3 linked regions of the Macaca fascicularis genome follow. The protein of the gene in region 1 purifies or fractionates together with the protein of each later gene. This does not show direct contact. Links are inferred from orthologs where the notes say so. Each region holds a gene or a part of one and is shown on either strand. Other genes may lie near its edges.

Region 1 (4,474 bases):
TGTATTCCCAGCTACTCAGGAGGGTGAGGTGGGAGGACTGCTTGAGCACAGGAGTTCAAGGTTGCAGTGAGCTGTGATCACACCACTGCACTCCAGCCTAGGCAACAGAGCAAGACCCTGACTAAAAAAAAGTAGTTAGCCGGGCACAGTGGCTCTGCCTGCAATCCCAGCACTTTAGGGGCCCAGGCGGGCAGATCACCTGAGGTCAGGAGTTGAAGATCAGCCTGGCCAACATGGTGAAAACCCTCTCTACCAAAAACACAAAAATTAGCCAGCTGTGGTGGTGGGTGCCTATCGTCCCAATTATTTGGGAGGCTAAGGCAGGAGAATCGCTTGAACCCGGGAGGAGGAGGTTGCAGTGAGCCGAGATCGCACCACTGTACTCCAGCCTGGGCAACAGAGTGAGACTACTAATCAAAAAATAAATAAATAAAATAAATATAATAAAATAAAAAATAAAGTAGTTAAACATAGTTAGCAAATGACCCAGAAATTCTAGGTAAATACCCCAAAGAGTTGAAAACATGGTTTACACAAAAACTGGTACACAAATGTTTAGAGCAGCATTTTTCTTAATAGCCAACAAGTGAATAAACCCAAATGTCCATCAACACATGACTGAATAAACTAAATGTAGCATATTCATACAACAGAATATTATTCAGCCATAAAAAGGACTGAAGTGCTGATGCTTGCTGCAACATGGATGAACCCTGAAAACATGCTAAGTCAAAGAAGTCAAACACCAAAGGCCACATTTTGTCTGATTCCATTCATATGAAAAGTTCAGAATAGTCAAATATATAGAGACAGAAAGTATTAATATATTAGTGATTGCCAAGGGTTGGGAGAAAATGGGGAAAGGGAAGAAGTGGCGTGACTGTTATTGAGTATGGAGTTTCTTTTTGGGATGATGAAAATATTCTGGAATTAGTGATTACAGCTGCACAACACTGTGAATGTACTAAAAGCTACTGAACTGTACACTTTAAAAGGTGAATTCTATGGTATACGAATATCTTAATAAAGTTATGTTTTAAAAGCCTAGAGAGAGAAAACAGGAACCTTACAGCATCCCCCAACCTTTTCTCAGGAATCAGATCCTATCACCTCAATGCCACCACAGACTGGCCAGTGAACCCAAAAGGTCAGCCCTGGACAGGTCCCCATGGCATCACCACCAACTCTACTCTACCCAACATCAGAGAAACAGCAAGGCCATTCAGGACATTGCTTAGGAAAACACCAGAGAGAATATTCCGGAGACTCTGTCCTTCCAATAGCAGCTAGGATCTCAACACTTGAAAGGTTATAATTCAGTCACCCAAACAACTCCCCCTACACTAAGTATCACAAACCTCAAAGAAGCACTCTGGGTGCTCCAGGAAGCACAAAGGCTCCTCTTGGGAAAGGATGTCCTTGGGGCATAGCAAAGCCACCCTACACAGCAGTAACCAGAACAAAGGCTCTATGGCCTTGTGCCCAGCTCCACCCCTAACGCACCTGTCAGAGTCTCCTTTCAACAACAGAGAGAGAAGTAGCTGGGGGAGGGTCCCCAAAAGAGCCTTCTGCTCTCACCTGAGCTTCTTGAAAGAACATGGGTAAGAAAGTGTCCGCCTCTAGGCTCAGCAGGCAGAGGCAAGTTCAGGTCCACCCCTGACCAGTAGGTCCCGTGATATCTCTCAACACCGCCTCCCCTCTGTAGCTCCCTGCATGTGGGCCTCATCTCCCTCAACAGTGGTTTACACACGGGGTGGGGAGGGGGGGAAGGGGGCAGGAAGGGAGGTAGAGTACCAGATTAGGAGTCAAAAGGGTCAAAAGGTCGGTATCCTAGCCTGGACTCTCCGTCCACGTCCTCAAGTGCCTCAGGGCATCACAGGCTACCACCTACCCTCCCTGACTCTCCAATCAGCCAGAGGGCCAGGCCGCCTCAGGGCATCACAGGCACCCAGCCTCCCTGCCTCTCCTATCAGCCAGAAGGCCAGGCCCGTTCAAAGGAATCTCTCGAAATGAGGACCTCTGCAGGAATGTGGACTCAGAGAGGGCGACTCCACCCGGCTCACACTGCAGGCCCGGGCATCTCAGCGTCCTGCTGTACCCCTCTGCTGGAGCAGGGTGTACCCTCAACAAGACCCTACGCAGCCACCAATTGCTAAGGACAGGGAGAATGACTACAGAGGCCCGATACCAGTCCCAGGTCACACATGAGTCAGGACTTGGTCGTGTGTCCCTCGCTAGGATGCAAACGATGGAGGCAGAGGCCTGTTTGTTCGCTCCAGAAATCCAGCGCAGGGCCTGGCACGCAGGAGGGGCTCAGAAAGTGCCCGACCCAGCACAGACGGTAAACTGGTCCTGAAGAGGACCACCCTGGAACCTGGCGCCCCACCCGCCCCTCGCAGCCATCGCTCTGGCCACTAGGCGCCCAGTGTCCCAGCGGGGAGACTGAGGCCTGGGGAGCTGCAGTCGGCTGGGCTTACCGCGCAGGGCGCAGCCATGGCCGGGCTGGCGGCGCCGAAGGCAGCGGCGGTGGCCGTTGCGGCCCGTTCAGTTTCCGCGCCCCCAACGGCCACCAATAGCAACGCGGGCCGCGTCGGCACGCCCCGCCCACCGCAATTAAAGGAGAAGCGCCTCAGCTTTTTGCCCCACGACTGGAAGCAGAGCTGGGTGACCGGCGGCCGGCGCCACGGTCTCCGTACCCAGTTCCCCAAGCTCAGAAAACCCACAGACAGCGCCGCCAAAAGCCTCTGTCTGCCGCCACTCGTTCCGCCTGAGAAATTAAAAGACCCAGGATGAGGGGTTCACCCCACCAGCCCGTCGTCCGGCTACTCTAACGGCGAGCGCAGCCTGCTGGGAAATGCAGTTCAAAGTCGCCCACGCCCCTATATCTGGAGGAAGGTGGAACTACACTTCCCAAGATGACGTGACGGCGGGCCGGGTTTTACCACCCGAAAAGACGGCCTTAAGGATCCCGGAAGTGGAGGACACGTGGGTTGCTGTGACCAGATTGCCTTAAAGCACCCGCGCGCGCCGGCGCAGCCAGGTTTTCCCGCAGGAATCTATTGAGAACTGAGTATTCGCCCCTCGGGAACTCTCAATGGTTCGCCCGTCCGAACGTTCTTAAGACAAGTGTCGATTTAAAATAACATGAGTTACTCGGAATCACAAACATGGACTGGAGAAATCTAGGTTCGATTCTCAGTTCTCGCCCTGATTGGCTGTGTGATCTCAGGAAAAACGCCTCTGCTGTGTGCCCCAGTTTCCCCATTTGTAACACGAAGGAGTGTGGTGCAGCCCGGCCCTGTCAGGATCCTTCAGGCCTAAGAAGCTGTTAGAGACCCAGTCTTCAAAAGAAGGAGAGGCCGGGCGCAGTGGCTCACGCCTGTAATCTCAGCACTTTGCCAATTTGGGAGGCAGAGGTGGGTGGATCACCTGAGGCCAGGAGTACGAGACCAACCTGGCCAACATGGTGAAACCCCATGTCTACTAAAAATACAAAAATTAGCCGGGCGTGGTGGCACGCGCCTGTAAACCCAGCTACTGGTGAGGCTGAGGGTGGAGAACTACTTGAACTCCGGAGGCAGAGGTTGCAGTGAGCCAAGATCTCTTCGCCGCTGCCCTCCAGCTTGGGCAACAGAGGGAGACTCCGTCTCAAAAATAAATAAATAAAAAATAAAATAAAATAAAATTTGAAGGCCACCAGTAACCATCTGAATGGACTCCCTGCTTGGCCAAGGCACTCTAAAATTTAACCTGAAAGAGTGGTTCAGGCCATAATGGGAAGTGGGGGTTGGACATGCCTCATTATACCCTCCAGCGTTAACATCAACACAAAACAAGTCTGATGAGAAACATTTACCATCTATTTTCTCCGAAACCTGCTACTTGGAGGCTTCATCTGCATGGTAAAACCTTGGTCTCCACAACCTCTTATCTTAACCAAGATATCCCTTTCTACTGATAATAATTCTTTCAACCAATTGCCAATCAGAATATGTTTAAATCTACCAATGACATGGAAGTTTCCCACTTTGAGTTGTCTTGCCCTTCCAGATCAAACCAATGTAAATCTTACATGTATTGATTGATTTATTTTGTCTCCCTAAAATGTATAAAACCATGCTGTGCCCAGGCCACTTGGGCACATGTTGTCAGGACCTCCTGAGGCTGTGTCATGTGTGCGTCCTTAACCTTGGCAAAATAAATTTTCTAAGTTGACTGAGACCTGTCTCAGATATTTTGGGTTGACGGTTTGGCAACCACAAAAGGATTCTGAGTGGAGGTGCCCCTGACCTTTGACAGATCTCCTACCGGTGCTTGGTACCAGCTTGAGCTATCTTTATGGCTCAAATCTATAGGACAATTTGCTAAGGCCTGGGAGCCCCGCTCCACGTTCCACAAAATTCCTGATCTTCCCAAATTTGGTTAACATCTAAAGTTTATTTTACCGTACAACTCCTTTTTCTGGAGTTTTACT
Region 2 (4,380 bases), on another chromosome or scaffold:
AAAGCTGTGGGGTCCCTGGGGGCTGGACCAGGGCCTGGGGTGGGGGGGTTCTTCTTCTCTTGTTCCAGTCCCCAAATGGCAAACCCCAGGAGGGCTGGCCACGCATAGCAGAGGATGGGGCCCGTGCGAAACCCTGGTGGAGTTCCCGCCCGTCTCTGTCTCAGTCTGTCTCTGCCCTTAGGGTTGGCACCCCCACCCCAGCTTTCCCGAGTGAGGCTTCCATGGGCACAACTGGCCCTGGAGTCAGGACAGGTGTATGAGGGCTGGGGGGGTAGGGGCGGCTCCCCAGAGAGTGAGTGTGAGGGGTGGGGCTGCAGACGTGGGTCCTCCCAAAAGGAGAGGGGTCGGGGAGCCTGTCATAACTGGCCCCAGGCAGAAGCAGAGGTTTGGAAATGGCTTCTTCCGGGGACAGCTGCTTCAGCAGGGCTTCCTGTGTGACAGCCGTGCGGGGTGCGGGCCCATCTCTCAGCCCCACAACCACTTCCTCTTCTCTTTGCTTCCATCGGCCCTTTTAAGGTAACAACTTGGGGCCCATCTCCCCTTCCTGTCTTACCCCTCAAAGAGCACAGGAGTGTGCTGGGGGTGTGGGGCAGCAGATGGCCAGCGGAGAGGGCAGCAGGCTCCAGGGGAGGGCAGGGCTGGGGTCGGGGAGAGTGCCTCTTGCATCATCCCTGCCTGCGAGCTGGGGGCCAGAGTTGCTAGGTCCTAAGACAGGCCCAGAGCCAGAGTCCCCCCCAACCCTGAGAATGCTGCCAGGGCCCCCAGACCCCATCCCAACCCTCTCTGTGTTTCCATGGGGAGAAAGCCCCAGGCTGAGGCTGGGGAGGGCTGGTCATGGGTCTGCAGGACTGTCTGCAGTCGGGGGCCCCCAGACCCCATCACAGCCCTCTCTGTGTTTCCAGCCCCAGGCTGAGGCTCAGAAGGGCTGGTCATGGGCCTGCAGGACTGTCTGTAGTCCTGGTCACTGGTGTGACCCATCTTGTGTTGGCTCCTTCTGAGCATCAGTTTCCACACAGCCACAGCACAGAGGAGCTAGAGGAAGTGTAAGGCTCATGGGGCCCAGCTCAGTTTTCCAGATGGCAACACAGGCCCTGGAAGGCCTGATGACAGTCACCTAATCAGGACCTCCACAGAGCCATGGGTCGGGTGGAGGAGCTGCTACCCCCAGGGCCCCAGGGGCTCACCTTGCCCAGGGGCAGCACCAGGAAGGCCCCTCCCCCACTGGCCTCACAGATCAGGGCCACAAACTTAGGGTTGACAGCACAGAAGCCACTGTCCCAGGTGGTCTGTGAGACGCGCACATCTTCATAGCACTGGTCGGCCTTGGCCGGCTGTCCAAACACGTGGCGGAACTTGCTGGAGCGGACCACCTGCCGGCTCATTCTAGGGGCACACAGGATAAGAGCATTTCTCCCTTCGGGTCAACTCTGATCTTCCAGTGGTCCCCACCTCCCCCAGGACACCCCTCAGTCTGGCTTTTGAGGTCCCAGCATCATCTCCAGGGGCTCCCTATCCTTTCCTCTGTGGCTTATGCCCGCTCGCCTTCCCTGGCCTCTCCTTCCATCTAACCTGCAAGCCCCCTTCTCCCTGGCCCCAGGCCACTCTGAGTCACACTCTCAATCTGTACCCTCAGCCTCTGCAACAGAGCCTGGCGTGGTGTTGCCCCCACTGCATGTTTGTTGACTGACTGGCTGATGGATGCAGAGCCCGTCCTTCCTAATGGTTCAGACTCAGGCGTCATCAGCCCAGATGGCTCTGAGGGTGGGTTCTCTCTTAGTTACAGTGTCCAGAGCCCACCTCCCTCACACCCACACAGCGCTTCCTAAAGGCAGGGACAGGGGCTGGCCTCCTTCCCCTGCCGGTGCGGGGCTGGACACAGGAGGAAGTGGCGTGGGGGCTGCCCGAGGGGAGTGAGGTGGCAGGATGGCTTCCCCAGCAGGTCTCTGGCTCAGGTCCCAGTATCTTCTCCTCCCCATACCTCTGCCTCTTGCCTTCGCTCAGAAAAGCAGGTGCCCTTAAGAGCCATCTCCACCCCCATGTGAAATGCACACAGGAAGGGAGAAGCCACTCCAACTGCTCTGATGTCCAGCTAGGATGGTTTCCCCCAGTGTCTGGTGGGGAGCAAGGAACTCCAGGGACGACCTTGTGCCACCGCATCACCCTCCTGCTCAGGGAAGGGGCCTGTGCTACCGCTGAGAGGGTACCGTGCCCAGAGCCTCTGCCCCTAGCCTCAGCCTCGCCTACTCACTGGGGGCGCCAACACCCCTGGCCACCCCAGGACTCCCAAAGAGGCTGCTAGGTCGGCCTGCCCAAAGATCGGTGAGGAGCGTACGTGAAGAGCCCCCGTCTTGAGGAGCAGCCAGGGTCTGGAGAGAGAGGAGCCCCGGACCAGAGGTGGGGGACAGGAAGCCATCGCCCCACCCTGCCTCCTCCCCCGCCGCAGGTACCAGGCCCGGAAACCACGGAAAGGGGAACTTGGTCTTTTCTTGTTTTGCTCTCAACCCCTTCCTGTCTCCAAGCCCAGGGCAGCTGCCCCACTCACCCCACCCTGTCCCCGTCCCCACCCTCCCCGAGACTTAATTCCGGGGGGAGTCGGGCCCTCGACACTGTGCTAACCCCCGGCCGCCCACCTCCATCTTGGCCGCGGTGGTCCCTCGCCCTCGCCTCCGCAGAGCGCTCTGGGGCCCCGGCGGCCCCCACTCCAGGCAGCGTCCCCCCACGGGCTGCTGCGCCCGCTCCCTGGCCCCGGCGCTGGCTGGGTCGCGGTGACAGCCGCGCGCCCCCGCAACCCGCGGCTCCCACACGCGCGCCGCCCCACAGGTGGCCCTCGCCCCGGTCCACCCGCGCCTCCTGGGCCCAGCCTCACCTGCTGCAGAGAGAGGACAGTGACCCCCCAAAAGCCGGAGGTGGAGGAGGAGGAGGAAGAGGAGGAAGGAGCTGGAGGAGCCGGGGACTCGCCCGCTGAGGATGCTCTTGTCAAGACAATGAATGAGAAGCAGCCGTGCGCCCGCCTCCAGGGTGGCCGCGCCCCTTGGGGCGGAGCTCTTCCAGGCCCGCCCTGCGCTCCCGGGCCCCTGCTGCGGCCGCCTCCCTCCCCTGCCTCAGCCCGCGCCCCACGTTGGTTCCTAACCATAGCGCAGGCTGCCAGCCCGGCTCCGGGAAGCGAATCTGCACTTCTTTTTAAAATGTCAAAAGGCAAAAACACCCCGTTGCTTCTTTTCTCCCTGCGTCCGCCCCTAGCCTCCTCTCCAGCCTTTCCCTGGCAGGCACGAAAGCGCTCCAGGCCCGCCCGCCAGGCCTCGGTGTCCGCCCCGGCCCGGCGACGCCGCCCCCTCCTCCCGACCCCGCAGACGCGAGCGCGGGGAGCGCGGGGGTCGCGGGGGGCACGGGAGAGGAGGAGCCCCGAGCGCGCTCCCGGACCCAAGGGACCTGGCTCTTGCCTGGCTCCGAGATCTACACATGGGTGGCCCCGGGAGTCGCTTCTCCTCCCTGGTCTCCTGTCTTCATCGGGAACACCCCTGCCCTCCTGCTGAAATAATTCGGCATCACGGGCACCTACTTCGTGCCAGGGGCTACAGGGTCGAGCGAGGCAGGCGAGCCAGGCAGGCTCCCGCCCGTGAAGAGCCCAGCCTGGGGGAAGGAGGAGGAGCCCACGGCCGCTCCAAGCCCGGCTTTGGCGAAGGCTCGAGGGCAAGGAGGAGTAGTTCCCACCCTTAGATTCAGAGAGGTTTCTGGAGACAGCAACAGCGGGCAGGAAAGGCCTGCTCTAGAGTCAGACTATGTCATGAGTGCGACCGCAGCCTGTCACCTGCTGAGTGACATGTGGCCGCTACTTAGCCTTTCTCAGCCTCGGTTTCTCCCTCTGTAACAGTCATACCTGCCACGTAAGAGGTATGGGTATGATTACCTAAAATAACCCAAGAAAGTCAGTAAGGACCTCATCTAGAAAGTGGCGAGGGCTTAATAAACGTTAGCTCTCGGCCATGCGTGGTGACTCACGCCTGTAATCCTAGCACTTTGGGAGGCCAAGGCTGGCGGATCACCTGAGGTCAGGAGTTTGAGACCAGCCTGGCCAACATGGTAAAACCACATCTCCACTAAAAATACAAAAATTAGCGTGGTGTAGTGATGCATACCTGTAATCCCAGCTACTCAGGAAGCTAAGGCATGAGAATAGCTTGAACCCAGGAGGCAGAGGCTGCAGTGAGCCAAGACTGAGCCACTGCATCACCCAGTCTTCCCTGGGTGAAAGAGCAAGACTCTGTCTCATTAAAAAAAAAAAAAAAAAAAAAAAAAAAAAAAAAAAAAAAAAAAAAAGTTAGCTCTTGTCATTCTTGTTTACAAAGTATCTGGGCTGGGCCCAAAAGGATGAGGAAGAGC
Region 3 (4,331 bases), on another chromosome or scaffold:
CGAGACTCCGTCTCAAAAAAAATAAATAAATAAAAATAAATAAATAAATAAAACCTCCTCATTGGAAAAGGAACTGAGAGGCACTGTGTTGGGACAGAGGGCAGGTTTTCAACAGACTGGTTTCAACCCTGGTTCTCCCATAGCTCAGCTCAAGACTTTGGATAAGGTGCAAAACTCTCTTGAGCCAGTTTCCTCAACGGGGATAGTTAACACCTGCCCCTCTTGTAGAACTGCAAAAATCATGGGAAATAAGGTAGATAGAGCGCTGAGCAAGGAGTGGAGACCGAAGAAATGACAGCTTCCTTCCCTTCCCCAACTCCTCACCTTTGACATTTCGCTTCTGCTGAAAGTTAGTTACTATTATGCCAAAGGAAGACCAGGTGAGTTTTTCTTCTGAAGAGACAGAGCTGCCGAAAAGAGAGCAGTTTCCAACACTTACCTTCTCTGCCATCCCCTCTTCTCCTCCAATGAAAAAGTCTGTTTTGCGTCGAAGGAAGCTGAAGAAGGTGTTCACAAGCTGAAAGATGGGGAGAAGATTAAAGGTGTGGAGCTGCCATTTGGGAGCCCTTCAAGTGCACACAAGTCAACTTCTTTTGTCTAGGAGGCAACTTGGGACTTGACTATTTTTCCTCTGAGCCTCCCAACTGAGGAGACATCTCCCCAGCAGGTTCTCTTAGTTACTTCCACCATGAAGCAGATTTCTCATATCCTGTGTGAGTGTGCGCGTTTCATTTTCCTTGTGATGCCTGAAGCAGCCTAAGTGTATGCAATACTCCTCTGCATCCAGGGCATGAAAAGCCCAGGCCCAGCTTTAAAAACCCCATCAAGACACCGGCTCACACCTGTAATCCCAGCACTTCAGGAGGCTCAGGAGGGCGGATCACTTGAGGTCAGGAGTTTAAGACCAGGTTGGCCAACAGGTGAAACCCCACCTCTACTAAAAACACAAAAATCAGCCGGGTGCGGTGGTGGGCAACTGTAATCCCAGCTACTTGGGAGGCTGAGGCAGGAGAATCACTTGAACCCGGGAAGCAGAGGTTGCAGTGAGCCAAGATCATGCCACTGCACTCCAGCCTGGGTGACAGAGTGAGACTCTGTCTAAAAAAAAAAAAAAAAAAAAAAAAAGACACTAAGTTACTGGGTCAAAGCAAGACGGAGGAGAGCAAATGAAGCACTTCAAAGGAGGATAAGATGGATTAACTCTGGCTGGAGTACAAGTGTAGCCAAGGGTTTGAGTATCTGACGGACATATATTACCTTTTGACTTTGCAGAAGTTTCTTAACTCTGTACAACAGGAATAAGATGCAGTACCTATTTCTAGGGACCTGGTGAGGATCATGAGGTCATGGAGTTGAGGCCTTCAGCCACGTATGGCACAGAGCAAGAGACCCACTGGCAGAGGGTAAACACCTTACAAATAGGACCATGACCCATGGCTTAGTCTATCTGCCACCTGCAATGCTGGGCACCAGATACAGCTAAAGGTACATGCTCAGTAAAATTCTTGCTGAATGAAACAATCTAGCGGTGACCTAAAGTCAGCACACACAAGCCCTTTATTTGCCCAAGAGTGGGTCTAAATCTGATGAAATCTGACGCTAGAACATATATCAGTGATTTCCATTCTTGCTTCTAGACACTTTTTCAGTTTGTTCAAAAATGAACTCACTCCCAAATCCAGTTTTGTGTAAACAGTTTAGAGGAATGGAGACAGGAAGGCTTTTCACACTTCCAAATTAGAAGCACTCTCCCCACCACAAAGGGCTTAGAAATCCTTGGTCACCAGACACCTGGGTTACATAGCAATAGAAAGTTCAATGGAAACCTACCTCCAGTGAGACACAATCAGCCATGGACTCTGGGAAGCACACTGACCTGTCCAGGTGAGGACCACGCTGTATGATCTAGGCAAATCCCTGCCACTTTTCTGGCTCTGAGAATGACAGTTCTGATCCTGACGGACTTTTCTACCTCTAACTTTGTGTTTGTTCCAAAAAAACCAACTCCAGAATCTGGAACAGTTGGCCCTTATTATTCATACACTGTGTTACCGTGTCTGTCACTGTGCACGAATTATCTCTTTGAAATGCTCTTTGTAAGCTCTATCAGGGCGAGGACAAGTTTTTGTATCCCCAGTCGCGTTGAGTGTGGGACACACATTAATCACACGACAAATACTTGTTGAATGAAAAAGCCTTATTACTGAGAACTTACGGTACTTCACTACTCTCGGGAAACCGGCATTCGCAGCTGTCTCACAGACAAGGAAACTCAGGCTTGGAGAGATGTAAAGGTTCCAAGTTGGTAGGTGGTGGAAACTAATCGTGAATACAGGCCTCCTCTCCTATTCCCCCATTCAAGGCCTAACAAGACCACGTGCTAACATCACCCCGCGCCCCTACCACACACATTCGACGGCTCGCCCCAAGCCTTGGTGGATCCAAATCACTGTATTTGGCACGGTTCTTACTAAGGGATGCTCCTCGGAAGACGCCATGAAAGTGGAAACGGGGTTGGGGGTATATGTGAAACTAAAGGGGAATCCTAAGCTCAGGGACGCGATAATTGCTACTACTGAGGGGCGCCGGGGGCCCAGAACTGATGCGAACCGGGTGAGACCGCCAGCGGGTGGCCAGGCCGGAAGCTGGGCGCGGTGAGAATGTGGGGGCATCCCAGAAGCCCGCGAGCCCCAGGGGTGGGTCTCAGCCCTGGAAGGCAGAGAAGGGCGGAAGGAGCTTGGCCAGGGCCGCCGGATGGGCCGACGCCGCGCGGACCGTTACCTCCTGCACGCCGCCCTCGTGCTGCTGAGCCATGGCCAGCAACATGCCGTCGAACCGCTCCTCCTCCTGCTCTCCGCCCATCGCGCCGGCTCCGATCCACGTCCCGAGCTCTGCACTCTAGTCCCGCGCTCTCTAGGCTCCTTCGGATCGCGCCGGGCCCAACGACTCTAGTCGTCCGCCTTCCGCAGCGGAGCCGGAAACACGCACCCGCGCGGCCCCTGCAGGCCTGCCTCCTCCTCCTTTCTTCCCGCCTTCTTCCCGGCTCGCGGCCATTGACCGTGCGGCAAGCAACCCGCTTCGCCGACCATTGGTCGACATTCTGAGCCAATCAACAAGCGCGTCCACGAAGCGGTGGGCGGAGCCGTGGGCTTGAGAGTTTGGCATGAGTTGCTATGGTCACCCGATGCCGTGGAGACTTCTAGAAAGCCCTGGACTCAAATCTGGCAGAGTTGGAAGTTAAAAAGGGACAAGTTTTGCTCCTCTCCCTTGCTAGTGACCCCCCAGCTTGTAGAACAGTGAAGCTGAAAGTAGCCTTACTCATCTCTTCCAATCCTAGAAGGGACTTACCACAGGACAGCCTCCTTCTCATCGACCTCATTTCATACTTGACCAGGGCCAGCTTCATGGGAGTAGAAATTGCAGCACCCAGGCTTAGAAAGGCTCCACGCTTGATTTAATGCTTTTCTGTTGTAGTCTTGAAATTCTTAATAATTTTGGAATAAGGAGCCCCACATTTTCACTTTGCACAGGGCCCAGGAAATTATGACAGGTGCTGAAATTGACCTTCACTTCTGTTAATGCAGGGACAGGACCCAGCCATCCAAGCTAATCCCTCCACTTTTGCAATGAATCTCATCATCTTAGTCTTTTCAGGAACTCTATGCCTGTTAATTATCCCTTTTTTAGCTTCTGCATCACAAATACCTTTATTCTTCCCTTCAATTTACAAACATGCCTTAATGTCTTTTTGTTTGTTTTTAAAGGTGCGGGTCTTGCATTGTCACCCAAGCTGGAGTTCAGTGGCGCCATCATGGCTCACGGCAGCCTTGAACTCCTGGACTCAAGCCATCCTCCCCACTTCAGCCTCCAGAGTAGCTGGGACTACAGGCTCACACCAAGCCCTGCTTTTTTTTTTTTTTTTTTTTTGGGTAGAGATGGAGTCTGTGTTGCCCAGGCTAAGTCTCAAACTCCCGGTTTCAAGCACTCCTCCTGCCTCAGCCTCTCAAAGTGCTGGGATTACAGGTTTGAGTCACCATGCCCAGCGCTGTTTTTATATTATTATTCCATGACCCCACTTTCTTCTGCTGCTACCTCCCCAATTTTCAGCTCTCATTTGCAGCAAGCTTGTTTGCTTGTTTCTCTACTCCCTCACCTTCCATCTCTCTACAGTTTATTCTAGTCTATCCATTATTATTGTTATTATTATTTTAGACAAAGTCTAGCTCTGTCGCCTAGGCTGGAGTGTGATGACACGATCTCAGCTCACTGCAACCTCTGCCTCCCAGGTTCAAGTGATTCTCAGCCTCCCAAGTAGCTGGGCTTACAGGCAC

What was found.
Region 2: the proteins of POC1A (region 1) and CORO1A purify together in Homo sapiens (affinity purification with mass spectrometry; 3 studies listed by BioGRID and IntAct, counting the BioPlex papers as one, with this or other methods). This does not show direct contact. The link is inferred for Macaca fascicularis from reciprocal best matches to the Homo sapiens genes POC1A and CORO1A.
Region 3: the proteins of POC1A (region 1) and NUDC purify together in Homo sapiens (co-immunoprecipitation; 3 studies listed by BioGRID and IntAct, with this or other methods). This does not show direct contact. The link is inferred for Macaca fascicularis from reciprocal best matches to the Homo sapiens genes POC1A and NUDC.

Annotation. Positions count from the first base shown.
Region 1 is NC_088376.1:115,229,706-115,234,179, forward strand, and holds the start of POC1A (POC1 centriolar protein homolog A), read right to left. Parts: upstream 2,830-4,474; 5' UTR 2,496-2,829; coding exon 2,478-2,495; intron 1-2,477.
Region 2 is NC_088394.1:27,912,484-27,916,863, forward strand, and holds the start of CORO1A (coronin-1A), read right to left. Parts: upstream 2,987-4,380; 5' UTR 2,867-2,986; exon of another isoform or gene 2,821-2,866; intron 2,444-2,820; exon of another isoform or gene 1,805-2,443; intron 1,384-1,804; 5' UTR 1,383-1,383; coding exon 1,185-1,382; intron 1-1,184. UniProt on the Homo sapiens protein: May be a crucial component of the cytoskeleton of highly motile cells, functioning both in the invagination of large pieces of plasma membrane, as well as in forming protrusions of the plasma membrane involved in cell locomotion.
Region 3 is NC_088375.1:208,182,250-208,186,580, forward strand, and holds the start of NUDC (nuclear migration protein nudC), read right to left. Parts: upstream 2,987-4,331; 5' UTR 2,863-2,986; coding exon 2,782-2,862; intron 518-2,781; coding exon 440-517; intron 1-439. UniProt on the Homo sapiens protein: Plays a role in neurogenesis and neuronal migration. Necessary for correct formation of mitotic spindles and chromosome separation during mitosis. Necessary for cytokinesis and cell proliferation.